Ovis aries: one gene and its partners. The protein of the gene in region 1 interacts with the protein of each later gene in a biochemical or structural test. Links are inferred from orthologs where the notes say so. Each region holds a gene or a part of one and is shown in the gene's direction. Other genes may lie near its edges. The genes, in order: SMURF1, PDLIM7, UBE2M, PLEKHO1, RHOB, UBE2D3 and UBE2D1.

What was found.
Region 2: the proteins of SMURF1 (region 1) and PDLIM7 are reported together in a solved structure, tested with the Homo sapiens proteins (2 studies listed by BioGRID, with this or other methods). The link is inferred for Ovis aries from reciprocal best matches to the Homo sapiens genes SMURF1 and PDLIM7.
Region 3: the proteins of SMURF1 (region 1) and UBE2M form a complex in vitro, tested with the Homo sapiens proteins (2 studies listed by BioGRID). The link is inferred for Ovis aries from reciprocal best matches to the Homo sapiens genes SMURF1 and UBE2M.
Region 4: the proteins of SMURF1 (region 1) and PLEKHO1 form a complex in vitro, tested with the Homo sapiens proteins (4 studies listed by BioGRID and IntAct). The link is inferred for Ovis aries from reciprocal best matches to the Homo sapiens genes SMURF1 and PLEKHO1.
Region 5: the proteins of SMURF1 (region 1) and RHOB form a complex in vitro, tested with the Homo sapiens proteins (2 studies listed by BioGRID and IntAct, with this or other methods). The link is inferred for Ovis aries from reciprocal best matches to the Homo sapiens genes SMURF1 and RHOB.
Region 6: the proteins of SMURF1 (region 1) and UBE2D3 form a complex in vitro, tested with the Homo sapiens proteins (15 studies listed by BioGRID, with this or other methods). The link is inferred for Ovis aries from reciprocal best matches to the Homo sapiens genes SMURF1 and UBE2D3.
Region 7: the proteins of SMURF1 (region 1) and UBE2D1 form a complex in vitro, tested with the Homo sapiens proteins (3 studies listed by BioGRID, with this or other methods). The link is inferred for Ovis aries from reciprocal best matches to the Homo sapiens genes SMURF1 and UBE2D1.

What each region holds. Positions count from the first base shown.
Region 1 is NC_056077.1:37,670,086-37,673,585, forward strand, and holds part of SMURF1 (E3 ubiquitin-protein ligase SMURF1), read left to right. Parts: intron 1-708; coding exon 709-747; intron 748-1,874; coding exon 1,875-1,983; intron 1,984-3,478; coding exon 3,479-3,500. UniProt on the Homo sapiens protein: E3 ubiquitin-protein ligase that acts as a negative regulator of BMP signaling pathway. Mediates ubiquitination and degradation of SMAD1 and SMAD5, 2 receptor-regulated SMADs specific for the BMP pathway.
Region 2 is NC_056058.1:36,698,515-36,702,623, reverse strand, and holds the start of PDLIM7 (PDZ and LIM domain protein 7), read left to right. Parts: upstream 1-1,309; 5' UTR 1,310-1,383; intron 1,384-2,334; 5' UTR 2,335-2,344; coding exon 2,345-2,440; intron 2,441-4,109. UniProt on the Homo sapiens protein: May function as a scaffold on which the coordinated assembly of proteins can occur. May play a role as an adapter that, via its PDZ domain, localizes LIM-binding proteins to actin filaments of both skeletal muscle and nonmuscle tissues.
Region 3 is NC_056067.1:66,428,870-66,432,866, reverse strand, and holds the start of UBE2M (NEDD8-conjugating enzyme Ubc12), read left to right. Parts: upstream 1-1,197; 5' UTR 1,198-1,728; coding exon 1,729-1,837; intron 1,838-2,964; coding exon 2,965-3,059; intron 3,060-3,176; coding exon 3,177-3,215; intron 3,216-3,327; coding exon 3,328-3,431; intron 3,432-3,682; coding exon of another isoform or gene 3,683-3,737; coding exon 3,738-3,801; intron 3,802-3,895; coding exon 3,896-3,997.
Region 4 is NC_056054.1:100,234,125-100,238,304, forward strand, and holds the start of PLEKHO1 (pleckstrin homology domain-containing family O member 1), read left to right. Parts: upstream 1-1,380; 5' UTR 1,381-1,702; coding exon 1,703-1,732; intron 1,733-2,405; coding exon 2,406-2,552; intron 2,553-4,180. UniProt on the Homo sapiens protein: Plays a role in the regulation of the actin cytoskeleton through its interactions with actin capping protein (CP).
Region 5 is NC_056056.1:28,325,886-28,329,848, forward strand, and holds RHOB (rho-related GTP-binding protein RhoB), read left to right. Parts: upstream 1-1,334; 5' UTR 1,335-1,377; coding exon 1,378-1,968; 3' UTR 1,969-3,463; downstream 3,464-3,963. UniProt on the Homo sapiens protein: Mediates apoptosis in neoplastically transformed cells after DNA damage. Not essential for development but affects cell adhesion and growth factor signaling in transformed cells. Plays a negative role in tumorigenesis as deletion causes tumor formation.
Region 6 is NC_056059.1:22,376,607-22,380,106, forward strand, and holds part of UBE2D3 (ubiquitin-conjugating enzyme E2 D3), read left to right. Parts: intron 1-330; coding exon of another isoform or gene 331-368; intron 369-1,393; coding exon 1,394-1,487; intron 1,488-1,910; coding exon 1,911-1,959; 3' UTR 1,960-1,960; exon of another isoform or gene 1,961-3,463; coding exon of another isoform or gene 3,464-3,500. UniProt on the Homo sapiens protein: Accepts ubiquitin from the E1 complex and catalyzes its covalent attachment to other proteins. In vitro catalyzes 'Lys-11'-, as well as 'Lys-48'-linked polyubiquitination.
Region 7 is NC_056075.1:305,094-309,265, reverse strand, and holds the start of UBE2D1 (ubiquitin-conjugating enzyme E2 D1), read left to right. Parts: upstream 1-1,372; 5' UTR 1,373-1,566; coding exon 1,567-1,590; intron 1,591-4,172.

The sequences.
Region 1 (3,500 bases):
GAAGATACAGACTCTAGGTCTTCATTTCAACTGGTGTCAATGTGATTCTGGCAGTTTTAAGAACACATTGATAAATCCACCCATGTATGTTTAAGAAAGATTTTTAAGTTTAAACCATTTTGCATTTGTTACAGTTGATTTCTAACTGAAGGAGAACACATTTTCTAGTTACTTGTCAGTTTTTTGTTTAATGTAACACTTAATTTGAGATACAATCAATGGCAAAGATAATTTTGAGGTTTTTTTTTTTTCTTCCCCGTTGCAAATATAGGCTAGCGCCTCAGCCAGTTTGGGCCACTAGCAAAATCCCATCGGCTGGTGGTTTACACAGCAAACATTTATTTCCCATAGGAGGCTGGAAAAGCCTAAGATGAGGAGGGGCTAGATTTGGTTCTGGGCCAGGGTCCTCTTGCTGCCTTGTAGATGGCCACCTCGTGCATCCTCACATGGAGAGCCGAGTGAGGGCGTGTGCTATGAGCCCTTCTTCATAGAGACAGGGACCCCCCATCCTGACAGCCCCCACCCCCATGACCCCAGCTAACCCCAAGCACTTCCCAAGGGCCCCACCTGTGGATACCTTCACATCAGGGCCTGGACCTCCAACATACGAGTTTTGGGTGGGATACAGTTCTGTCCATAGCGACTGACTATGGTGAAAATCTTGTCCGTAAGTGCTAACTCTTGCCTTTTTTGTTTGTTTGTTTTCAGTATTATGTGCCAAGAACCTTGCAAAGAAAGACTTCTTCAGTAAGTAAACACGCACTTTTGCTCTTTCACTATTGATATTCTTCACATATTTCTGAAATTTAAAACTTTTTCAAAAAACACTGGGTGTATTCTCCTAAAAGAAAAGAATAGAAGCCCATGGTTTGACAAACTTCATTTCCCAGTTGACTACGGCACAGAGGCTCCTTAGCTCCAAGGCACAGAATTTATAACTCAATCAAGAAAAACTCTCTCTCATTCCCTATTCTGGCCACACCGTTTTCTCTGCCTTTCCATCCATTAATATATCGCTTTCTGCTGAAGTGTTCTCTACTCAAATACAGATGAGACATTTTTCTATAAAGCATCTGAGTTTCAGTAAAACTGATAGTCAAATTTGATAAATTAAATCACACTTTAAAAGTCGTGTAATGAAAGGAATTGTAAAAATAAAAATAATAAATAGAGAGTCATTTTCTTATGAAAGGAATCGCCTCTTAAGAAGCTCACCTACTATAAAGTAGGTGCCCGGAGCAGGAAAATTTTCACACTCTTTCTGATCCTCACCAGAATGCTGCTTGGTTCCTAAGTGGTGTGTTATTCACACTCTCAGGTGAAGAAACTGAGGTTCACGGGCTTTATTCAAGGAGCTAAGAAGGTGCAGAGGGATGGATCCCATCCAGGTCTGTCTCTCAGACCTGGCCACCTCTCTGATCTTATAAACCTGTCTGATTCACACTCCAGCATTTAAGAACCTACCTAATGAAAATTTGGTGAATACTGCTTCCAGAGATAAAATAGACAAAGACCAGCAAACACAATGTCTAAGTATTATTTTTTAGAAAGTACAAATACATTTATTTGTAGACACTTTTTCCTCCATTCAACTAGCAGTGATCTTCAGAAATAGAAATCTGAATTTAAGCCTGTTTTTAGAGTTTCATTACTAGTGTCTAAAAATCTGAGGAGGATGTCATTCTGGGCTGCTTTTCTTAGAAAGCTTAATGGAAGTAACTTATTTTGCTGATCGAAACTGACCTTAAATTTGAGAATGAAAAACACCAGGATAGTTGGGTGGTCTTGACGCGCCCTTTACCTGCGGGACCATGTTCTGTGTCGCATTGACAGACCTGTCATCTCATCCAGTGTGGCTGTCCCCTCTCCTCCAGGGCTCCCTGACCCTTTTGCAAAGATTGTTGTGGACGGATCTGGGCAGTGCCACTCAACGGACACTGTGAAGAGCACATTGGACCCAAAGTGGAACCAGCACTACGATCTGTGAGTCGGATATCCTACAAGGCACTTGGGAGTGAGAGGAGAGGCTGGGTCTAGCTTGTAAGAGAAGCATTTTTTTTGAGAAAGGGATCACCAGCTTCTTTCTGGTAACACACGTGAATGGCCGGAGACCCAGTGCCTACTTTTGGAATTCATACACTTGGGAGTTCTTGCATTTGTTTCCATAGATTGTTCATGGTTTGCTTCTGTAACTGTGATCTTCAAACATTCAATCTCCTGGCCCTCTCTAACAGGAAAAAGGGGCTATAGTTCAGGTCCTCTATATGCTACTGTTTTTTCAGCAAAACCATGAGCATAGTTGTAAAACGCATCATTTGAAATGCATTATTATACATATTTATTATGTTGTTCTTGTTGTTTAGTCTCCAAGTCATGTCTGGACCCCATGGATGTAGCCTGCCAGGCTCCTCTGTCCATGGGATTTCCTAGGCAACAATACCGGAGTGGGTTTCCATTTCCTTCTCCACATATTATACGAATATTTTATACACACACACGCACATACATATATATGCTGATTTTAAAAATTTTGCTTAGATGGTAAAGAATCTGCCTGCAATGTAGGAGACCCAGGTTTGATCCCTGGCTCAGGAACATTCTCTGGAGAAGGGAATGGCTACCCACTCCAGTATTCTTGCCTGAAGAATTCCATGGGCAGAGGAGTCTGGCTGACTACAGTCCATGGGGTCACAAAAAGTCGGACACGACTGAACAACTAACACACTCATATTTTTTGCAAGAGCAAAGAAAGTTTGGTATGAGTGACTATATATAAGCCCACTCGCCATCTGACAACTTCTTGTATCCAACCATTACCTGGATTGCCCTTTGAAAATCACTATTTTATCTTCACCTCTGTTTTCATGTCCTTGCTGAGAAATTTTTGTCAGGTAACGCTGAATGATTACTGCTTTGTTTTACCGCCACACCACAGACTGTGCTGGTTTTGAGCGGGTTTTTAGTAGCTGGATCCTGAGGCCCATTTTCAGTTACACTGTGGCACAGGAGTGGTCTGGAAAGCGGTTGTCAGTCCAAGTCCTGGAAGCCCCCTTGTGGCTGACCTGCCCTGAGAGGCGGGGGTCTCCTGTCCAAGCTCTGCTCTTGCGTGTGCTTTGGGTGGATGGAGGGTTTGTAAGGAGTCCTTTGTTGCAGACTGGCTATTCTCTATGCAGCCTAATTGGTGGGAGCTTATGAATCCTGCCATTATCTTTGGAACTATTAAGATCTAGTAAATCCCTGTTACAAGGTTATCATCAGCATGTAGTTATCTCCATGTGCTGCTCAAATAATCAGCTGTAGCCCTTTTGCCACCGATTGAAGTTGGTAGACAGATATTCATCGAGGGCCTGTAGTTGTACATATAGAGCCAACATTATTTTCAGAGAATTCTCCTGGACTAACAAGTCAGTCAGATAGAATCAATGGGCTGTTGTAGTATAGAAATGCAATTAAAGATGAATTTGCACTTTGGTTTCAGATATGTTGGAAAAACGGATTCT
Region 2 (4,109 bases), on another chromosome or scaffold:
GAGAAGAAGCAGTCAGTGGGACAGGATGAAGCCACGGGGAAGAGGGAGTATACCCTGACCAGAGCTGTTTCTAGGTAAGGAAAGAGGAAAGCTGAGAAATCACCATTGATTGAATAACCTGGAAATCATTAGAGACCTTTTGAAGAGGGAATTAATTCAGAGGACTGGTGGGGACAAGAGCTTGACTGAATGAGTTCAGGAGAGAATGGGAGGAAAAACGGGGAGGAAGGGTAATAGACAACTCCAAGGAATTTTACCCTCAGGGAAAATAGAAGAATAAGAGAGAGATTGCTGAAAAGTGTTGTGAGATCAAGAGAAAATTTATTTAAAGATGAGAACTCTTACATCAGTTTATGTAGTGAAGGGACTGATGCAGAAGAGGATGAAATATGATAATAGTGGAGAGGGGAGAACAGCATTGGCCATCCCCTGAGGCGTGGACATCTGTTCACTCACTCGCAAACCTGGATCCCTGCTCACTTTCCCCCGCTGCCTGAGCTAGCCGCCTGGGCTGAGCACTGGGTCAAACTGGGGACTCTGACACCCTCAATGGAGGCGCTGCCGGTTCTGGAGCGGGTAGCAGGACATACCTCATCAAGACAGTCAGCACTTAGGTGGGGTGGCTGGGCTGCTGGCCGCTGACTGCGAGGGGTCGGTGGTAGGAACAGGTCAGGAATGAGTAACGATTGGGGCCAGAGCCAAGGGTCCCTACACCTGTGTCGACTGTCATTTTCTGCCTTCGGTGGAATGTTCTGCAAACAACTTCATGCTCCCCCGTGTCCTCCTCAACTAAGCCCACCTCGAGGTCCCCCCCACCACCACCAACTCTCCACCAAATCCGTCCTATTTAGAAATTCTGGAGCCTCCGATGGCTGTACCTTACGGCGAACTGTGCCTGTCTTCACGACGGCCCTGTGAAGCGAGTAGTATTGTCCCATTTTTCTGAGTTGGAAACTAAGGTTCACAGACGACTCAGATCCAGATCTGTCTGGTTCCCAAGTAGACTTTCTTTTCACTCAGCCAGCTGGAGGCGCAAAGGGCCAGGAAAGCGGAGGGTTAGGCTCCCAGACTAGGTGTCCAGCAGCCGAGACCCCGCCCAGACTCCGTCCAGGCCCCGCCCCACCGACGGGACCAAGGAGGGCTGTGTCTTAGAGCCCAAAGCTAGATGGGACCTGATGATTGGGTGGGGCGGAAGGATTGGGTAGGGCTTCCCACTGCCCGGGCGACCGCGACTTTTGGAGGGGGCGGGGCATCTGGCTCCGCCCCCCTACGCGGGCTCAAAGCGGATGGCAGCCGCGGGGGCGGGGTCAGAACTCGGGCGGCGGATCCCAGCGCGGCTCTTTGGAGCCCGCCGCGGAGCAGCGCCCCGGTGGGGCCCAGGAGGTACTTGGGACAGCGCGGGGCATCTCGGGCCGGACCAGGCGGGGGGCAGAGGCCTAATGGGGACCACAGAGGGGGCTGGGGGTCGTAGCCAGCTCTGCAGTTCCTCCGATGGGCCGTCGCCCCTACCCCCGCCCCCGCCTTCCTGCGGCGAAGCCGGCTGCGGCGGGGCTGATTGGCGCCTGCGCCGCTTCCTGCGCCTGGGACTCGGCCAGTGCTTGGGGCCCAGGCGGAGGCCCAGGGGGAAACTGAGTCACGTTGGGATGGTAGCAGTCCTGTGTGGGAGGCACCACCCTCACTGGGCTGCAGGATAAATCTTTTTCCTGACCGTGCTTTGGAGTCCCAGCCCCCACCGTTCCCTCCAGGGGCCTCGCCCCCGCCCAGAACCCAGCGCTCCCAGGGGTCCTGCCCTGGCTCTCAGTAGCTTCGACTGGGCTTGGAATGGCTAGGATTCGCTCCAGCCGCCTCCCTCCGCACCCCTCCCCCTCGCGGCCCAAGCCCCCGTGTTCTCTCCGAACAGTGTCAGTTTACACGCCTTATATAGTCCGAGCAGGCTCCAGCCGAGGCCTGCCTGTGGGGACCTGGGGGCGGGGGAGAGGAGTGCCGGCCCTGGACTGGCATTGCTGTCCAGACCAAGGCTCAAGACTGGCTGGGAAGGAAGTCATGCCAAAGTAGTCCTGCTGTCCACTCCTGGGTGAGAGGAACCTTATGAGTGGATGCGGGCTCCCTTCACCCCCCGCCCCAGTCCTTTGGGGAAGGGGGGTTGCCCCTGTCTTTCCAAAGTGAGTCTGCCAGCTAGCAGCCCAGCGCGACCTAACAGGGTGCCCGCCTACCCTCCCCCTGGGTGTGCTCAGCGTCTGCCAGTGCTTGCCTGGCGCTAGTCCAAGGCTGGTGTCCAGAGTAGGGCCTGCCTGTGCACCCACTGTGCATCACTCACTTTTTCTCTCCTCTCAGGAGCAGCACTATGGATTCCTTCAAGGTGGTGCTGGAGGGGCCAGCACCTTGGGGCTTCCGGCTGCAGGGGGGCAAGGACTTCAATGTACCCCTCTCCATCTCCCGGGTGAGCCTAGGTTGAGGGAAGGGTTCCTCTGGGGGTCTCTGGGTGCTCAGATCTCCAGTGGGCGGCAGGAGGAGTCTGAGCAGGAATGAGCCGACGTCACAGACCAGGAGGTGTCCAGGTCCAGAGCTGTGGGCATCTGCCACAAGGACTCCCAACTCGGTAGATACTGGGAAGGGAGCAGCCCTCAGACTTCCACAGCTCTACACTGCACCTTCTAGGCTCAGGAGTGTGCCCATTCTTCAGGAGGTGAACCTGCGGTCTCCAAGAAGTATCTATAAACTGCTTGAGGAGCAATGTTTGGTGCTAGGCCCCTGGGAGGGCACTCTGACTGCAGGAGCTCACTTCATCCTCATTGCCACCTAAGGAATAGCAACTACCACCCTGTTTATTCAGATGAGATAACTCAAGACTCATTGAAGGAACTCTTTCATCAGTTCCATGGCAAAGCAGGCATGGGGCTTCAAACACAGGGATGGCCTGCAGTTTTTGTGGGTGGATAAGGTGCTTCTGCTTCTCCCCAGCCCAGGTGAGGACTTTTATCCCATTCACTGGTTCCATTCAGGATGCAGTGGTGTTTGGGTATCTAGGGCTCTGACTTCAACTCCTGAGAGCCTGTCCTGGTGGGGGTGGAGCTGGAGGCTGGCTCCTCCCTGTGGCAGGGGGATTGCCTTATAAGCCCAAGAATGCAGCCCCATGCTGGGATAGTCAACTGGTGGCTGGAGTCTGCAGAACTAAAGAAGGCTGGCCTAGGCCTGGAACCCTGAACCCCATCAGTGGGCCCCTCAGCCGATCATCAGGCTGTGGCTACAACTGTGGGATCAGTTGTGGGACTCGGAGAACAAAGTGCCTGCCCTGAGAGGGTGAGGCCAGCCCTTGGGTTGGTGTCTCTTGACTGTAGTCTGGGGGTCAGGAGTGGGCGGGGATTTCTGTCCCCATATCCCCTTGACCAGAGAGGCACACCCAGGCTCCTGGTGGGCAGCTGTTGGCATGAAGCCCAGGGCAGGCTTAGCCTGGAGGGGTCTAGAGATCCCAGCTTGAGGGGGCCCCAAGGTAGAGTCTGTTGTAGTTGGGCTTGGTGGCCAGGACCTGCAAGCAGTCACTGTTCCAAGGGACCCTTCCACGGGGTTTCCTGGAAGCTGCTCTGCCAGCAAGGTAGCTAAGGGCACTGATCTCCCTACTACTTACACCCAGCCCATACATAATACTCAAGCCTTGCCATCTCTGGGAACTCATCCTATACTCCACTTCCTGAGAAAGTGCTGGTCAGTGTGGCTGGGAGCTTGGCTGACCTCTGAGCCTCAGTTTATTCATTGGTGGGGATGGGCAACAAAGCAGCCTAAGGGATGGACTTTCAGATGTGGCCTGTTGGGGGCACTCTGAGCTTGGGCTCTGTTGTCAGCAGCCCCAGCATGTGGGTGGGGCCACTGGCTGAGCCCAGCCCTGGAGTTGGACCTAGGCCCTGGTGGGTGGGAGTGAGGGTGGTCTTTTCGGAGCTGGGCTGGGCCCCCTCCCTCTCTCCTGACCCTAGCATGGAGGAGGAGAGGGAGGGGCTAGGGCTGGCTGGAGGCCCAGGCCTGGGAGATGAGGTAACGTCTGGGACTTGGGGGTTGGGCTGCTCAGTGGAGCCCTCAGGCTGACTCACCCCCTACTCCGTGTGGTGTCCAGCCCC
Region 3 (3,997 bases), on another chromosome or scaffold:
CTTAGCCTCACCCCAGCACCTCTCCAGCACACAGCTCTCAAGGAAATCAACGAAGCCGGCAGTCTGGGGCGAGGACGACCAGAGGGTTGAAGGGGGGCTTCTGGAATGGAGGAAAGAGAATGCAAGCGGGAGAAAAAGGGAACGGCTGCAACAGCCACGACTAGGATATGAGACCACGGAGCCCAAGGACGCCGAGGGTACCCGAGAGGAGGCTGGGGTCGGCAGGGACGCCAAATCACGGCCCGAAAAGGTGGAGGTTACTTTCTGGGGTGAGGATCGGGCCGGGGTAGCCAAGAGGAGGCCATGGCCCACCACTAGCGCGGGCCCAACTGGGCCGCCGGACTACTCCCACTGTGCTCCAGAAGACGGCGGCACGCCGCCTCAGCGACGGGGTGGGTCGTGCGGCAGGAGCCTCATTCGGTCGCGGGAAGGCTCAGGGGCAGAGCCCCGGCCGCCCCCCGGGCCCGGCCCCCCGCCCCGACCAGCCCTCGTGGCGCCGCTCACCGCCTGACGGAGTCCTCGGTGACAGCCTGAAGTCGCAGAACCGCTCCGCGCCGCCTGCTCGCGCCTTCCAACGCACGCTGAGCTGTGATTGGAGGGGAGGCTGGCTCCGCCCACCTCGCGGACGGAGATGGCGGAAGGCCGGGGGTCGCCTGCGGGCAAACTCTAGACCCGTGCGGAGGGCTGCCCCCAAGCGTGTGAGCCCGTGTAAACCTCCACAGTGTTATACTATCCTCTGACACGTTTTATTTGCTAGTTTACCTCAACCAAACTCTGCAGGCGGGTTCTCTGAGCCTGAGATGGGACCCCGAAGGTTCTGAGTCATGCACTCTAGGCCACGCTCCTGGCCTTGCTCAGGCTCTGACTCTAACCCTGCCTCCGTCTGTGGCCCCTGGGGTCAAGCCCCTTGTTTGGCCCGTCTATGCCGCCGTCCGCACAACTGCGAGTGGGCATGGCGGCCCGCAAGTGAGGCGGCCTGCATCTGCCCCACTTAAATATGGCGGCGACACCGCCATCCCCCTCCTCCCTGGACTCGCGGGCGTCCCCGGAAGTGACCGGCCCGGCCCGCACGAACGGAAATACCCGAACCAAGCCGAAGGAGCCCGATCCCCAAGTCCCAGCGCGGAGCAACGTGGGGCGGTGGCAGCGGCTGCGCAAGCGCACAGCGCAGGCCGGGCGGGAAGAGCCGAAGCGGGCAGGCGACGGAAATAGCCGAAGCGGTGGGGCGCCCGAGGCCGTTGCGGACCTCCGCGCCGAAGCCGCTGCTGCCACGGAAGCCGGCCCTCCTGTCTAGTGCACGGCCATCGCAGCCCCCGCCTCCCCCTTCCGCCTCGAGCCGCAGAGCCCTCGCGAAGAGAGCGAGTGACCAGGCCCAGGGACACGGCTTGAGGACCCCGCGTCCGCAGCCGAGCCTGAGGACGCCGGAGCGGACGGCCGGGAGGAGGGAGCGGCGGGTGGGGGCGGGGCCGAGTAAGCCCGAGAACAGCCGAGCGGGCCCGAACGCCGCCGAGCGGGCCCGAGGCGCCGGGCCAGGCCAGAGCCGACTACGGGAGCCGACGCGGGCCGCGCGGTGGGCGCGGAGCAGCGCGGCAGGCCCGGCGGGCGGCGGCAGCAGCCGGAGAGGCCGCGGCGGCGGGTCCGAGTGGCGGAGGCGGCGCGGGCGGCGGCGGGGGGCCGGGTGGCCGGGGTCCCGGGCCCCGCAGCGGCGGCAGCGGCGGCGGCGGCAGGATGATCAAGCTGTTCTCGCTGAAGCAGCAGAAGAAGGAGGAGGAGTCGGCGGGCGGCACCAAGGGCAGCAGCAAGAAGGCGTCGGCGGCGCAGCTGCGGATCCAGAAGGGTAAGGGGAGTCGGGGGATGGGAGTGGAGGTCGGAGGTCAGAGCCTGGCTCCGGGTGATACGGGAGTCAGGTGTGGAGTAATGCGGCTGCCAGGGGTCAAAGGTGTCAGAAACGGGGAGGCCGCGGATGTGGGGATCGGAGACCAGGGCCTGGGGGCCGAGGGGCCGGGGATGGGGTAATATAATCACCAAAGTGGTCGGAGGTAGGGGGGCCGAGCAGGGGGCACTGAGCGTGTTCGGAAAGCTAGGAGTCTGATACTAGGGACCGAGAATCTGAGGGTGGCAGCGGAAGAGGGAGACCGGGAACTCGAGAGTCGGGGGGTCAGATGGGAACCTGGGCGACAGGAAGAGGAGATAGGGACAGTGGGGCCGAGGATTGAGGATCGGGGTGGGAGATTTAGTGTATTAACGCTAGAGTCACTGGGAATCAGAGTCAGACCTGGTGAAGTGGGTTCTGGGGCCTGGGTGTCGTGGGTCTGGGTGAGTCACATGTCAGTTTGGGGTGACAGGAGGAGGGAGGGATGCTGGGTACCAGGGATTATAGAGATAGGAGTAGGGTTGGGTTTAGACCATCCTGCTAGAGATGCTGGAACTCTTATGCTCAGAATAGTATAGGGTAGGAGGCTTGGGAACTCACAGATCTGGAGGTCAGATGGGATCCTGAGTTTAGGACGACAAGCAGAGAGGAGTGTATGGACAGTGGGGGCCAGGGACTGGGGGGGGTGGTGATTTAGGGTGAGGAAGGGAAATAAGATCCTTGCATCTGCGCAGACAAGTAGAGACTCCTCTAGAAAGCGGAGGTCGCGGTCAGGATGCTGGATTTGGGGTGGGACACACAGGAGTGGGAACATGTAGGAGCTGGGCTGGGGGACTTACGACTGGATTCAGAAGAGTTAGAGCTTGCCCCCCAGGAGTTCCAGCATATCTGCAGTGTTCCATAGATACGGAAGAGCCTGCCTGGAGACGCGGAGCAGAAGGAGCAGGGAGAGGGAGGAGGGGGTGGCCCACTGCCCAGGACAGAACTGGGGTCCTGGGTAGAGGTTATGGAGGCTCTGCTGGCACCTGCTCTGAGCACCCCCTATCTCCCCCTTTCCTGGCCTGTTTCCCTTCTCTGCTGTGAAAACCCAGACATAAACGAGCTGAATCTGCCCAAGACGTGTGACATCAGTTTCTCAGATCCAGACGACCTCCTCAACTTCAAGCTGGTTATCTGTCCTGATGAGGTGAGGGCACGCTTAACTGGATTCTCAGGCACGGCAGGTGACACCACCTCAAGTTGGCTGGTTCACCTGCCGGGCCTTGCAGAGTGGGGTTCTGACTCCTCTCCTCTTCCTTCACAGGGCTTCTACAAGAGCGGGAAGTTTGTGTTCAGTTTTAAGGTGAGTCTCAGGTGTGCAGGGGTGGCTCCCTGGGCTGAGGAAGCAACAGCTGAGGCCCCAGCCAGGCACTGCTGTGCACCTATCCACTTGCCCTCTCTTCTCCTGGAGCCAGGTGGGCCAGGGTTACCCGCATGACCCCCCCAAGGTGAAGTGTGAGACGATGGTTTATCACCCCAACATTGACCTCGAGGGCAACGTCTGCCTCAACATCCTCAGGTGAGGGCACTGGCCCTCCACTACGCTGCCCAGCCCTGCCTGCCAGGCCCCCTTCATGACCTTGCACTATACCAGTCTCTTTCCCTTCCCTTCCCCTTGTGGTCTGTGTGTCCCTCTGTCTCTTCAGCTCTGCGTTTTCTTCCTCATGGCTTGACCTTGGCTTTCTGGCCTGTGCTTCTCTGCACCCTCCCGCTAGCATTTCCCGATCGTGCTGTCCCATGCCCTGGGCCTGACCTGTCTGGTCCCAGCAGGGCCTGTGGTGGCTGCCCGCTCACCAGCCCCTATCATGATGCTCTCTGCCCACAGAGAGGACTGGAAGCCAGTCCTTACGATAAACTCCATAATTTATGGCTTGCAGTATCTCTTCTTGGTGAGTAGGGGTGGGGGTGGGAGGGCAGCTGGGGGAGGTTGGCCCTCTGACTTCTGGGCTTGTTGACCTCCTGCCCCTCCCATACCGGCCACAGGAGCCCAACCCTGAAGACCCACTGAACAAGGAAGCCGCCGAGGTCCTGCAGAACAACCGGAGGCTGTTTGAGCAGAATGTGCAGCGCTCCATGCGGGGTGGT
Region 4 (4,180 bases), on another chromosome or scaffold:
TTTTTTTAATCTTGAGACATCTCTGAAAAAGAGGTTCTCCTCTACTCCTCTGTGCCAGGGATTTTTATTCATTTGGAAGTTTCTGTGTGCCTGCCATATGCCAGGCAGTGTGTTCGTTAGCTCATTATTATTTAGTAATTAGCCCTAGAGGGCAATACTGTATTTTGAAAGGACTTTCATGGGTCATCTCATGTTTTCCCCTGTCTTTCTTGTTGGTGGAACTGGCAGTCAGTTCCTACAGAGGAACTGAGGCCCAAAGAAATTCGGCGACTCGACCAAAGGCCACAGAGCAGTGATGAAACCAGTACCCAAAGTAGGTTCCCTCTCTCCTCTTCCCATTAAATGTGTACTGAGGGGAAAAAGGAAGTCACCAAGATGTTGGTGTGTGGGCTCCGAGGCAGATTTGGCTTAGGAGTGATCAGCAGTTTCCTCCAGCCAGGGCCTCCTCTGGGCACTGTGGTAGACAGGGTGGAATTTTTACATGTCAGTGCATTAGGGAGAGACACCAGATAGCAGGATGTTTAAGCCTTCGGTTCGGTTCAGTCAGTCGCTCAGTCGTGTCCGACTCTTTGCGACCCCATGAATCGCAGCACGCCAGGCCTCCCTGTCCATCACCAACTCCCGGAGTTCACTCAGATTCACGACCTGGTGCTTATATTTAAAGCCACTAGGTCTAACAGATCAGAGCTTTGGAGACAAGAATTCTATTCCTTCCAGCACTTAAAATGTGTCTGCAAATTCTGTACTCACTTTTCTCTCTATGCAACGGAGGTCATAATATCTACCTCATACATAAGGTTATTCTCCCGAGGCTCAAATAAGGCCTAATAATTTGTAAACTGGAAGAAATGTGTATTGAGTTCTCTTCCGCGGGGAGCCCCTACACATCGGTACCCTCCGAAGCATAAAACTTTTCCCCAACAGTTGACCTGCCCAGACCACTACTCCACCACCTAGGGCGTGTGAATTCCGGATGCCAGTCCTGGGTAACACGCCCTCCCAGCTCACGCTCTTGTTTTTGTTTGGGGGTTGGGAGGGAGACGATCTCAATCTAGGTTATCGCCGGTCTTTATGAACCTGCCTGTGTCTCCATCACCCGCCGCATCGGCCCCTGCCGGCTCTCTCGGCAGGTCGGCCCGGGCGGTCGTCTCAGGCTCCACCTCTCGCTCCGGCCGTCAGTGCGAGTCTGGGTGCCCCCGCCGCCCCAGACGCCGTTCCCCGGCGGGGTGTAGGTCTGTCTTCTTCACCCTCAGTGAGTCAGAAACAAAGGAGGGTGTGGGGGGAGCGCACTCTCTCCGGCTCGGCGATTCGCCCTTTATTCTGAACTCGCAACGTCAGCGGGCGGGTGGATGGAGCTGCGGGGCGCGGGCTGGGCCGCCCACATCGCGCCGGGCCGGGGGAGCGGCCGGGCCGGGCCGGGCTGGCGGGCGGCGGGGGCGCGCTCGGGGGACCGGGCCGCGTGGGCGCCGGGATGGAGGGCGCCGAGGGGCGGGGAGCAGGCGTGCGTGTGTGTGCGAGCGCGAGGGAGGCCGGCCTTTAGTGTAACCGGAGCTACAAAGAAGGGGAGAGTCCGGGAGAGGGAGGGAGGAGCGGCGGCGGCGCCGGGGGCCTCTGCGCACCCTCCCCGTGGGCAGGAGCCCCCTCGAAGCGGCCTCGGCCCCCGACGCGGGGCCGCCCCTCGGCGCCCGCCCGGCAGCCCGGAATGATGAAGAAGAACAATTCCACCAAGAGGGTGAGTACGTCCGCCCGCCCCGTGGCCGCCGCTGACTTTGTGCCCCGAGGACCCCGGCCCCGTCGGAGCCGCGGGCGGCCGGCTTGGGGGCCGGGGACACGCCGCGCCAGCCCCCTGCTTCCAGCCCGGCCCGGTCGCCGGTCCCTTAGCTTCGGCCTCGGTGCGCCGGGCCCGCGACGAGGTACCGCGGGGGCTTTTGTTTGTTTACTTGGGCCGGGGGCTAACTTGGCTGAGTTTCTGCCCCGACCCCCGGCCTCGCCTTCCCCGGGCGGCGGGCGGCCGCTGGCACCAAGCTCTGCAGCGGCGAGAAGACAATGAGAAATAAAATGCCGTAAACCCCGGCGCGGCGTGGAGGGGAGCTGGGGGAGGGGGCGGGGGGCCCGGCGGAGCCCCGAAGGCCACCCCTCGTCTCCAGCCCGGCCCTCACCCCTGGCACGGGCAATTCCAGTTGTTTATTTGGAAGAAGGGGGAGGGGAGCGATAGGGATGCGAGTTCCTTGGAGTGAAAGGGTTTGAAGAAGTGGGGAGCAAACGCGGGGCTCCCCGACTCCAGCTGCGGCGGGGCGGACGCGGGGAGGGGACCGGGGACTCGGGAGGGCGCCGAGGACGGAACGCGAGGAGGAAAAAGCTGGAACCACCTAACCGTGCGATTCTCATCTGGCTCGCGGGGGCAGGGGCCTCAGGATGGAAACCATCAGTGTGCACCGCCTGAGAAGGTCGGCTGGGTCCGGAAATTCTGCGGGAAAGGGATTTTCAGGGAGATTTGGAAAAACCGCTACGTGGTGCTGAAAGGGGACCAGCTCTACATCTCTGAAAAGGAGGTAGGTGCCCTTGCCGCGAACTACCCAGTTTTCTCATAGTCCTGACCTGGTCTTTCCGAAGGGGTCTTATATGTACTTCTCGTCTCCCCCTTACCGCACTCCTGATTTTGTTCCGAAAGCGAGTTCAGCAGTCCGGTTGGCTCTACCCCCATCTTACCTGCAGAGAAAGGTCGCCCTTCAGTGAGAAGACCCGAATTAGAATTAGAAGTTGCATCTTACTTAAAGATTTTCCTTTGAAAATACCTTTCTGATAAGCATGATAACTCCCTCCCAAGATGTCCCCAAAACTCTTTAAGTGTCCCCTACTCTCCCCTATCCTGGCCTCGAGCTGACTGTAGGATTCTTTTTTCTTTGCTGTTGCTGCTGAAACACCCTGTTCAGCTTATTCTTCCCTCCTTCCTGCCCCCCAGCCCAGCTAGCCTCCCCTTTCCTGTCTCTCACAGAGACATACGCAAGTCATATCAGCAGTACAGCTGCTCCAAATCACAGAAGACACACTTACAATCCAGAGGCAGTCTCACATGACCTCAGGTAGAGTATTTGTAAGTGGCAGTTATTTCTCTTGAAGCCAGTGTCCTTAATTAACATGTTCTCTGTTCCCCACCCCCACTCCACTTAAAAACAAAGAAGCGAGGAACTCATTCTCCATTCCTTCCTACCCAACACCCCCGGCCAATTATAACAGAAGGGAGAGTGGAGTTTTGAACCCCTGCATGTCTCTGTGTCTTTGGGTCTATAGTTACAATGAAAATAGTCCACGTTGGGTCAGAACCTGAGCCCACATATTGAATCCAAACTCTTCTCTGTTTTATCCCTAATTCTTGGGCTCAATAACACATAGGAATGTGGAGAAACTAAAATTGCCCCTCCATGGGTTAGAAGTCATTCCAGTACCTATCTCTGTGACTATGTCAGCATTGCCTAGGAGACTGTCCTGAGTTCCCCTGGTAGGATGGCCCTCCCCTGCCTGGTGAGTTTGAGTTCCCTCACCAGGGGCTAATTGGGAAGTCCTCCCTGAGTTCTAACCTCTTCTGCTTTCTGCTTAGACTATATTTAGGTAAATAAATCCTTTTATGGTATTGAAACAAGACACACAGGCAGTCCTGGAGAAAGTATTCATCTTGAACAGAACATCTACCGAAGCAGCTAAGAAAGAACTAAGCTATGCCAGGGCCAAAGAGATCCCTCTTAAGGGTATTTAAACCTTGCTGTTTACACTAAGCTGAGAACTTGGTGTTGGAATGAGGTGAGAAAACACTTTGACAGGAGAATTTATCTTTAAGGGTCACCTCTACCCAACCCTAAATCCTACCCAAGGTTTTTTTTTTCCCCCCCACAATTTGCTGACTTTCTAGGTTTGTGGTTTGTTTTTTTTTTTTCTTTTTTAAAGCAAATGTCCAAGTGTATCTCCTGCCTTCCCTGAACTTCATAATGGCAGGAAACTCTAGTGAGCAATCGGCGAGAACTTCCCACACGTCAGTGGGGAAAACATGAGATCAGGGAAAGGGTAGAAGGAACAAGACATTTTTTTTTCTTATTTGTACCAATCTAAAAAACAGTCTGGGGATGAAAGAGTGTGATGGACCCTTATTTGTGGAGGAAGGGGTACTGAGATAGGGGAAAGAATG
Region 5 (3,963 bases), on another chromosome or scaffold:
CCCTCAAACACACACACTAATTTGTCCTGTTCTAGCCTGCAAGTTTCTCAGCCCACCCATCCGGGCTTCAGCCTATTCTTGCCTAATGGGGTGTGGGGTGGTTGGATTTTATTGCACTACTTACTTCAGATAAACCAGGATCCAAATTAATCCTGCAAGCCAGGACTGAGGCTGCCCTTTTCTGTCTGGTTACTTCCTGAGTGTACCTGAAGTTCTGCAATCAGCCTCGACCTTCCCTTTTCACTGACCCTCTTTCCCTGAACCTTCACCTGGAGACCTTAGGCTGGGTGCCCGAGAAAGCGGTAAAGAGACTGGCTTGTTAAAGCCGGAAACCGGAACCAGGCCCACCCATAAGGCACCCTCTAGCAGATCCAAACACGGCCCAGGGAAAGAACCCTCGTGGAAGCATGGTGGCAGGCTCGACAAGGGGAGGGGCTGCTTCTAAAAGAAAAAAGAAAAAGAAAAAACAACAACAACAAACCACAACCTTGATTGGAAATAAGCCTGTGTGCGTGTGTGTCTGCGTGTCTGTGCATTTAAAAACAAAACCACGTTAAAGGAGCCGCTCCCTACCCTACAGGTCCGACCACCCGCTGGGAGTTTGCGAAGCAAGCAGGGCAATACGAGTGGGAGAGACTCATTCACGCGCCCACAAAGTGCCTCCTGTCTCGGAACCGCTCGCCCAGGCCCCGCGGGCTGCTCCGGGCAGCCGTCTTCAGCCCTTCGGTCCCGCGCGCAGAAAGAGCGAACCTTGACGCAGCCAGAGACCCGCAGCTCCCGCCGCGGCGGCAAACTCCCCAGTCGCCGCCTCTCCCAGCCCCGCGGCCTGGGCAGTCAATCAAGCCCGCCCGGCCCCTCCCGTGGGCTGCAGGGGACGGCCAATCAAAGCCAAGCTCCGCAGCGATGAGCTCAGTCGGCTTGCTTCCCATTGGACGGCTATATTAAGAAAGTCGCCGAACTCTTTAAATAGCGGGCGCTAGGGCCGCAGCCTGCATCTGCCGCCGCAGTCGGGCTGAGTTCGTGTTCTCTCTTGTGTTTTCGCCTAGGCCTAGGGAGATCCAGGAGGGAGCTAGGCCGCATCCGCTTGCTCTGGCCACCGTTTGCTCACAAAGGCGCCGACCCGAGACCAGGGGCGAGGAGAGCGGCCGCCGCTCGGGAGCAGCGCGGAGACGCACCGTGCGCCCTATGCCCCCGAGTCCCCCACCGCCCCCGCCGCGGCAGTCCGAGCACTACGAGGGAACGCGCGCCATCCCGGGACCTGGGTGCAGCTAGCGACCCTTGTCCCCAGCGCGCAGCCCGAGGTGAGCAGTGAGCGGCGAGCGGGACGGCAGCGAGGCGTTCGCGGGGCCCCTCCTGCTGCCCGGGCCCGGCCCGCTTATGGCGGCCATCCGCAAGAAGCTGGTGGTGGTGGGCGACGGCGCGTGCGGCAAGACGTGCCTGCTGATTGTGTTCAGTAAGGACGAGTTCCCCGAGGTGTACGTGCCCACAGTCTTCGAGAACTATGTGGCCGACATCGAGGTGGACGGCAAGCAGGTGGAGCTGGCGCTGTGGGACACGGCGGGGCAGGAGGACTACGACCGCCTGCGGCCGCTCTCCTACCCGGACACCGACGTGATCCTCATGTGCTTTTCGGTGGACAGCCCGGATTCGCTGGAGAACATCCCCGAGAAGTGGGTGCCCGAGGTGAAGCACTTCTGCCCCAACGTGCCCATCATCCTCGTGGCCAACAAGAAAGACCTGCGCAGCGATGAGCACGTCCGCACAGAGCTGGCCCGCATGAAGCAGGAACCGGTGCGCACGGATGACGGCCGCGCTATGGCCGTGCGCATCCAAGCCTACGACTACCTCGAGTGCTCGGCCAAGACCAAGGAGGGCGTCCGAGAGGTCTTCGAGACGGCCACGCGCGCCGCGCTGCAGAAGCGCTACGGCTCCCAGAACGGCTGCATCAACTGCTGCAAGGTGCTATGAGGGCCGCGCCCGACCCGCCTGCCCCTGCCAGCGCGGCTCCCCATCCCGGGCCCGTCCCCCACGAGCCCGGAGAAGGGGAGAACCTTGCCCCCCCCAAAGACCCCCACCGGACTGCCTGGCGTCTGCTTTCAGCCCCGGCAGCCGTGGCCTGGAGACTCAGGCTCTGGCACCCGAGAATCGGCCGCGTGGTAGGCACCCGGCGCCCCCTTTCCAAGTGTCTGTGCGTCCGGCTGTGTGGCACAGGCTTGGCCACCCCACTGAGTGCCAAGGGTCCCCTGAACACCATTTTCTGAAGAGCGAAGCCTCTTCAGGGTGTGTGGCTGTGTGTATGTTCGACTCCCCGCTGCCGAGTTTTCACCCCACGCCAGCCCCTGCTCCCCGGACATGAGCTTGGCGCCGGGATGCGGCCGCGCCCCATCGGATGTGCGTCTGTAACCAGTGAGCGCCTGCTATGCCCTGTCTGTAACATAGACCTCGGGACCTGCGGGAGGGGAGGGCTGGGGAGGATGGGGTGTTATATAAATATAGATATAATTTTATTTTCGGAGGTAGGATGGTGTTATTTAATGGTGGTGGTGGGTGGAGTGACAGGGCGCTAGAACAGCTCCAGCCGGGTCTGAGTGAGGCGTCATCCCAGCACGAACAAGACTTGGCCATGTTTCCTACCCCTGGGGAAGACATTTGCAGCTGACTTGGGGCCTGAGAGGACACAGCTTCCAGACTCCTGTCTCCTGCCAGCCAGCCCCCCCACCCCCCACCCCCCGGCGAACCCCTCACTAGCCATTGAGAAGGAGGGGTGAAGTGTGCTGCAGGTTGTTTTTGCCATAAGCGAACTTTGTGCCTGTCCTGCAAGTGAAAATTGTTCAGTCCAAGAAACTGATGTTATTTGATTTATTTAAAGGCTTAAACTTGTTTTTTTTCTTCTTTTTGGAACGAATTCTTTGCACAATTGTTTCATTGTTTGACATTTAATGCACTTGTCATTTGCATAAGACAGTAGCATTCTGACCACACTTGTACGCTGTAACCTCATCTACTTCTGATGTTTTTTTAAAAAATGATGACTTTTAAAAAACAAGGAGAAGAAAAAGAAACCACTAATTTTTTTCTTTTGAAAAAAGTGGCAACACTGTTCTATTTTGCGATTTTATTTGTGCACGTATGCGCACTCTTTTGATAAAGGGCAGTAACCAGTATTAGGGCCTATCTAAAACCTTTTGTTGTTGGTTTTTTTTTCCCTCAAGGCAGTCTCTAAAGCTGTGTGAAATTTTCTCTGCATCTCTGTACAGAGAATAAACCTCCCTCTTGTGTCTCTTTTCTCCCCCTCCCTTCCCCCATCCAGTGGTACTTCTACTAAATTGTCTTGTTTTTTTATTTTTTAAATAAACTGACAAATGACAAAGTGGTGAGCTTATGATGTTTACATAAAAGTTCTATAAGCTGTGTATACAGTTTTTTATGTAAAATATTAAAAAAACTATGATGATGACATTTATAAAATGGCTCCTGTGGTTTAATGATGTGTAAAAATCTTGTGAATTTGAGGGCAAGGGGAGAACTCGGCTAGGTGAGGCTCCACTAACTCTATTTCCCTCCAAGTGTTTGTAGGAAATGGGGATGAAATCTCTGAGGATGTGAGGGGATTGGGTGGCCAAGGATGACCAGGTTGCTCCTGCCCCAGGGCCAGAGGTTACCCAGGCTCCCAGTGCCACAACCTTTGACCTAATGTGAACTGTCTGAATGGCTTATACACTGTGTCTAAGTCTATTTTGTAGCCTGTGCATCCTATTCTTTGAAACTTGGAAAGTTGTCATTTGTGCATTCAGATAACTTTTTGTTAATCACTGTCTCAAAGACTGGTTCCTGGGTTCCCTTCAGATCTTCAGGGGTTACACAGTGTCCCCCCTGAGATTGTAGGATGTTATCTCTGACCTGAGCTCCTGGGTAGAAGTCGGGGAGAGCCCAAATCAGAAGCCAATCCTTCTGCTGTGGAAC
Region 6 (3,500 bases), on another chromosome or scaffold:
AATAGTTAGTAGTGTTTTACAAGAAGTTTTATATTTAGAAGTGTGGTAAATGCAAAGTGAAACAGGTTTTGTTTGTTCATTCGTTTGTTAAGTCAGGACATCAAGCCTTTTGTGTCCTTGTACAGTGCATTTGAATCTCTCTGAAGGGACTGTCTAGCATTCCCAGAATTGTTTTTGATTAATCAGAAACACTTTTGTGTGGGGAGTGGGGACAATTTGGGTAAATGCTGCTGTCGTTCTTTTAGGTGCAGCATTGTTTTAGGCCCATTTTTTACCCCCCTGGATACATTCAAGTTTCTTTTCAGGTCTTTTCTTTTCTCTTAACACCAGGCACCTGGTATGAAGAAGACTTTAATACTATTTTCCAGGTTTGTTTGGTTTTACCATCATTGGGAATGCACTGCAATACTGAACACTGTTTCTGTAAATGCAGATTTAGTTTTATTTCTGATCCTGCACTTGAGTTTAAAGTTCTATTTTCTATGATAATGTATTTTTTTTTCATGGTATTGCTATTATCTTCAAGGATTGTCATAACCACATTAAGCTTTTATGTCGTAAACTTTTTATAAAACTTTGCACAGTGGCACATAATTCGTATTCACAATGAATTAGATACATATTCCTAATGATGCTTTACATCTTTTAAGTTAATGTTTTGAATAGGTCAGTGTGAGAGCTGTAGCTGAAGAACTACTCAGTAGTAGATCTTGGTGGGTTGTTTTGTTTTTTTTTTTTTTTTTTTTAATTTAACCAGAATTCTTGGATATGGTCTCTACCTTATAAATTCTGGGAGATAAAACCTGTAGTCATTGGGGCAGTTGGGTGTTTTTGTGAAACTCCCCCGAGAGTAGGACAGAAAATGGATTATTTTATCAAGCTAAACAGCTAAGCATATATTGCATAGCTGTACTCTTATTCAAAGTCCCCACCCCCACCTCCCTCCAGCCATTACCAAGAAACTCCACTTGACTATTTCAGAAGGTTCATAGAGAGAAGTCCTTGGTGGTCCAGTGGTTAGGACTCCACACTTCACTGTAGAGGATACAGGTTCGGTCCCTGGTCAGGAGTTCCCGCATTCAACGTGGCATAGCAAAAGAAAAAGTAATATAAATTAATACAGTAGCATTTCACTATCTCAGAACTTCTGAATTTGGCAGATTTTTGTATCTAGTCAGTAAACTAGCTAACAAATACCTATTTTTAGGATCTCTTAACTACCAGGAGCTTGTCTTGTATGAATCAAAATCTCTGTAAAGCTTTGTCTTATGGAAATTAAGATAGAAACTAATCCTCTTTTGAGGATTGAGGTTTATATTATAATACTTGTTTTTAAATACTTTTATTCAACCAAATTCCCAGTTGTGGGTAACAGACATTTGTTTTCTTCCAGTTCTTTTATCCATTTGTTCACTGCTATGTGATCCAAACCCAGATGACCCCCTAGTGCCAGAGATTGCACGGATCTATAAAACAGACAGAGATAAGTAAGTATGTAGTAATTTGAGAAAACAACATAAAAAGTGGCTTTTCTTAATGAGTTAGTATTATATACTTTGCTGTAAGTTGTGGCATGATGCCAAGGAGACTTGATGCTTATTTCCGGTAAGATGGTAGTTGAAATGTGCAGAAGCTAGTTACTTAAATGTGATTGGCTTTTTGTTGTTGTTGTTTTTTAATTTACTAGGTTATGTTTTCTTTTTCTAACATGTTCAGCAGTTTGTCACTTTTAAGTTTGAGGAAGAAAGGTATTTTTTCTTGACCCCAATCACATTTAAAACAAGAGAAAAATATTGGTACTGTTGTAAAAATTTGGTCTAAATATTTTATATATTGAATTCTTTATGTACAACTTTACCATTATAATTTCCTTATGTTATAATTAACGCTCAGTATACTTGTTCAATTAGGTACAATAGGTTAGCAAGAGAGTGGACAGAGAAATACGCTATGTTGTAGGGTAAGAGGATCTGCACAATATGGTGCGCTTATTCATGGTACTGCCAGCACATGAGTGCTGCATGCGTTAAGGCACTGTATTAACTAACAAAGGTAACTGATGTGGCAGTTTCTGAAAACTGTACACTTAACTGCTTGATCTCTTGTTTAGCGTGAAAGTATACCCAGCAGTCATTATTGCTTGAGAGTATTTTTGCATGGCAAAACAGAGTTTATATAGCACCAGTAAGAAATGAAAATTTTAGTATCTTTTTCAAATTACTATAGAATTTAAATTTTAACTTTTAAAATTGGTATATTTTAAACTTCAATACTATATGGAATGTGGTGACTTAGTTAAAATTTTGCCAAGAGATAATAATGTAAGGGATAAACACTTTTTTAAGCCTCACTATCTGTACTAAATGTTCATTACTGACAAGCATGCATTAGTGTCAGCTATACTTTGTGGCTACCTGTATGCTAAATGAAACCTTTGTTTTAAAGTGCTGGCTTTCTGAGAGGTATCCTTGAATGAGGTAACCACGAATTGGTAGAGAAAGAACTTAAAGTTAGAAAAACGGTTGAACTATGTTTAGTTCTTGGTTTGAAATGAAGTTAATATTTTTATAGAGGTCAAACTGTAAATATAAATCAGTTCTCCTATGTCCTTTTAGATATTCCTTTCTTAAGGTTATCACTATAATTTTTGTTCTGGTAAGTAGTCTATGACATGGTAGTAATACAGGGAGAAATTGATAGCGTTTTATCAATATTAGTGATCTTCCTCAGTAGTAAATATCCTTGCTTGTGTATGAATTACCTGTTGATCATTTTAAACAAAGATGCCCCCACTTGTACTCCTTACTAGTTTCATCCATCAGGTCTCGGTGGGGTTTGTTAATTGCCAGTCACTACCCTTTAAAAGTAACAGGTGATTTTGATTAGCACATATAACTCACAGCCCACCTCCTCTTGAAAATTACTGCTTTTTTATCATCTTCCCCAGTGTCTTAATCTACCTGTGCTGAAGTCTCAAAGGCATTTTCTTTTAGGTAATATCCAGGGTGAAGTAAATTATCATGAAGTCCAGGATTCAGATAAAAATGCTCAGTCTGGCTTTCATGGGAGTTTCTATAGATCTACAGATAAGTGCACTATTCTGATAATAGGTCCATGGCAAATTGTAAAAAAAGGTTAACCTTTGTTGGAATGTATACTAATTGTAAAATTTCTAATAGACCATTAGGTCAGTAGTAGGAGAGAAAAAAGGTCTTTGATTTTTGCTAGCCTATCCGTATGTTTATGAAAGTATTACTTTGATTAGGACACTGTATTGAAGCATAATGGTCTTGTTTCCTACAGTGCTTTGAGTACCAGTGCTTTTTCTTCCTTGTTGACTTTATCCTAATTGTAGCCATTGAAGATGACTCCATGATAAGTCTAGAAGTAAAATACTCTTTCCTTACCTTTTAAGTATTAAGAATTATTTTAAATTTTTAAATAACATCTTTTTTATTTACAGGTACAACAGAATATCTCGGGAATGGACTCAGAAGTAT
Region 7 (4,172 bases), on another chromosome or scaffold:
GACCATGGTTGGCAAACTAATCCAAGAGTAGTCAATCTATTCTTTGCTCACTAACTGAAAATGTATAGCCTGAAGTAAAAAGATGAATTGTGTCAATGGGATTCTTCCCTTTAGGGAGATAAATAGGGAGTACCAAAAGGCTTGGCCATTTAGCAGCAGAAACAGTAGCTTGAAGAGTGTCAGAAAGTGGAGTAAGGATGGTGGGAGCTCATACCCTGTACAAGAGAAGTTAAGGGGGAGCTGGAAAAATGAGGGTGGGCCAGCATGCAGAGAGAACCAAGATCTCAGGAAAAGGAAAATAAGAGAGTAGTCAGACTCCAGACTGGTTTTAGTTTTTATGTTTATTTTCGATGTAGAGGGTGGTGAGAAGGTAGAATGAGAGGCTTCTAAATTAAATTTCAGATTCTATTAATATTTCTATCATTCTTTCACTATCTTATTTCCCTGAACATTTTCTTTTAAGTTACCTGAGTGGATTTTTGTTCCTTGCTCTTTGTAAGCATTTAGAATGGTATGGTGGCTATTGTTTAGGGTTTCCAGGAAAGCTTTCTTCCAACCCTCGCCTTGTAACACAATCTGATTCCTGGCCACAGGGAAGAAGGCTGGACATGTCCAGGAAGTTTTTGGACATGAAATGCTGAAACTGCGGTGAGAGTTTGGCTGGAAAGAGAGATCTTAAAATCATTATCATATACATAAAAACAAGGAAATAATTTTTATAGAGCATTTTCAACATATTAGGTAGTGTGTTTGGCACATCATATTAATATCAGTTAATTCTTACAATAATATATGGAGATTATTTTTCTTTGGACACGCAGAAACTGAGGCTTAGAGAATTTAAGTGCTACAAGGTCATACAGTGGATAGGGATCAGAGCTTGGATTCCATCCCAAGAGAGGGGTCAGTCCACAAACCCCACGCTTCTCCGGCTATGTTGGGTGGCCTTCCAGTTTACGGGAGGACACTAGGTCTGTCGTCTAGGAAGATATTAATGGCGAGAGGTCTGAGATTGGAACTCTAGGGCACTCTAACTCTTGATAAGAGGATTTGGTAACAGAAAAAGGGAAGATGAAAAAAAAATTACAAGATGTAGCACACATTAGAATCCGGTACATGTTTTTCGAGCTAATTTGTTATTCTCATTTTACAGGTTGGGAACTCCAGTTTCAGTTACTTGATCGAAATCCATCTGCAGAGACTAACCCAGACCTGGCAGTGGGTGAAGGTCTCCGAACCGGGCAGCGGCCGAGTAGGATGCAGGAACTGCATTTCCCAGTACGCTTGGCGGGAGGGGGCGGGGCCGGGCGGCCGCAGATTCCTTCCCAGAAGCAAAAGCGGAAACAAAAGAGTGTCGCCGGCGTCCCCGCCCGCACACTCGCACACTAGCGCTCGGGCTCACTCAGAGCAGGCACCCGCGCCCAGAGCTAGCCAGACAGCAGCGACCCGGGAACCCACCCGGCTGAGCCAGCCGAACAGCCGGCGATCCGAGCCCGCACTACCCCACGCCCCCGAGCCCTGCAGCCGTCCCCCGCCGGCCAGTGTCCCAGCCGCCCTCCCTGACCGATGGCGCTGAAGCGGATTCAGAAAGTGAGTGCCGGGGCCGGGCCTGGGGCAGCGGGGCGGGCTTCGGCTCGCCGCGCACGCTGACCCCAGTGGTGGTCCCGAGAGACGCGCCGGGAGGGAGCGTGCAGGGAAGATGGGCTAGGGCGGGGACCGGGGGCCAGAGACGCCGGCGGGCCAGCGGGCACCCGACAGGTGAGGTGGGAGCAGCGACAGGTCCCGGGTGCTGGAGGTGCTTGGAGGCAGGGGGCCCGATGTGCTCTCACGCCGGAGCTGCGCCTGGGGATCCCTGGCAGGAGAGCTGCTTCTGTCTCCAGACCTCCAGACCTATGTGCCGCTGGGTCACTGGATTTTGCCTTACACCCGGCTAGCTTTGGCCCTTGTCATGCTGCTTTCTTCATGCTGTTTCTGAAACCTGTCCTCTTTTATGATTTTGCCTTCCCCTGCTCCCGGGAGGGCATGGAAGGTGTGGTGGGCCTGCAACCTTCCTCCGCGGAGCTGTTGGGTTTGTTCTTTCTCTCCTCTGCGGTTGGCTCTTGCTCAGATGCCCGAATGGGCTGGAAAAGCCCATTTGGGACCGAGAAACCAGGAGAAGCCTCCTGCCCCTTCTATTTTGGTGCCTCTGCTGCTGCCACTTGAGGTCACATAGCTGTAGTGAAAACATAGTTGCTGATACACAACAAGATGACCTCCTGGCTGTGATTCATGGTGAGTCAAGCCAAGCAATTTTTTTTTTTTTTCTCGCCATGATAAACTTATATGTAAAGTTTGAGACACAACAGAAACTGTCACAAATTAGATAGTTCCATGCTTTGACACATGGGTATAGAATGAGGAAGAAATGTTTATATACATTAAACAAATATGTTTCCGTCCCAACTCAGTGTAAGGAATTGTTTTCTCATGAATGCTTTTTGCTACCGTCTCTAATGTGAACATGTTACAGACCTGAGATTGGGGCGTTTTCTTTCTGTTCACTTTTGTTTCTTGTTGGGTTATTTAGTCTGTTCCCTTTCACAAGCTTTAGGCTTTACTGTTATGGTTCATGTGGAGAACATTGAGAATTTGTTTTTTTAATGAGAAATGCGTTCAGCAAGTTAAGCCAGAGATGGACAGCATGTTTTCTAAAGGATTTCAGAAGAAATACTACCAAAAAAAATTTTTATCAACTTCTTCTGGCACGAATCAATAAGGCAGTGATAGGGAAGTATACATTGTATTCTCAGTTACCATTGATGTCATCTTCTGGTACAGAGGACAGCAACTTTCTGACCCAGCCAATTTGGTGGTGGTGGTGATGGGGAGGGGTCAAATGATCCGAGATCTGAGAAATACTGTTATTTTTTGTGCCTGTTAAGGTTACTCTCACGGTAAAGCACATAGCTAAAATCAGCATGTGTTGATTACTATGTTTTCTGATTTGAAGATAATGCAGTTACACACTTTTTTTCATATACATGATTCTAATTTTGAAACCCCACTCAGCATCTTTGCCATGCCTTGTGTACTTTTAAATGATGATGTAATGTTGGCTCACATTTGAGGTAAACACACATTTTCCAAGGAAGTCTTAAAATTCCATTTCCTTCTTCCCTAGTTGTAAGAGTTTTTTGCAAGACTACATGTATAGTAGCTTCAAATAGTGTAAAATTTGTCGACAGTAAGTGAACATTCACAGAAAATGGACACTGTTAAGTGTCCTGGGCAATGTATCAGTCTCCTTGCTGAGCCAATGTCTTTGGCTTGTATTTATAATATGGCATATACCCAAATCATATTTTTAGTCATTATTAGTTATTAGTTTATAACAGAGTTGTCTGGTTAAAAAAAAAAAAAATTGGATATGACATAGCATCCCATCTCTGTGTGTCAATCTTTGGCTCCCCTTCTCTGTTACCAAAAAAAAGTGATTTGTACAGATCTCTTTTCCATTGATCACTTGTTCAGACCACTCTCAACTTTAGGAAGTATTTTGTTTGATTCCCCACATTTTCTCTTTCTTTACTACCTTCTTGATGAGAAGTGAATTCCAGGGGAGGTATGCTGTTTGCCATGTGAACAGTTAAGTTACAGAGCCCTCTTTGATATCATCAGTATATAAATTCTTTTTGAATCTTCCGTGCTTCAACAAAAGAATCCATGTTATTAACTTTTGGCCTCTCTTTTAAAATGTATTAAAGTAACACTGTCAGATAAGGTCATTGGGTTGCGATTTTCCTGGGCCTACAGTGGCAGGCTTTGGAACTGTGCAGAACCTTAAAGTACTTTCAAGAGTGAAAGGCAGGGGAACAGCTTCTAGGGTAGTACATCAGAATCAACCATGGGACATTTCAGACCATCCCCACTGCTGTAGTCCATGGGGTCGCAAAGAGTTGGACACGATTGAGCCACTGAACTGAATGAACCATTGCTGTAAATGGAGAGATGCTGGTGAGTCCCTCAGATGGGCTGCTGTGGAAGAAAGGTCATGAACCACTGACTGACATTCTAGTCTACTCACTGTTGTTCAGAGAAGGAGCTTGAGGTTTCGAGTGGAGTGCTTTGTCCAAGTTAATCTCTTAAGAAGTGATTTGGCGTGTTTTAAAAAGGTCATGACTTCACAGTTTTTC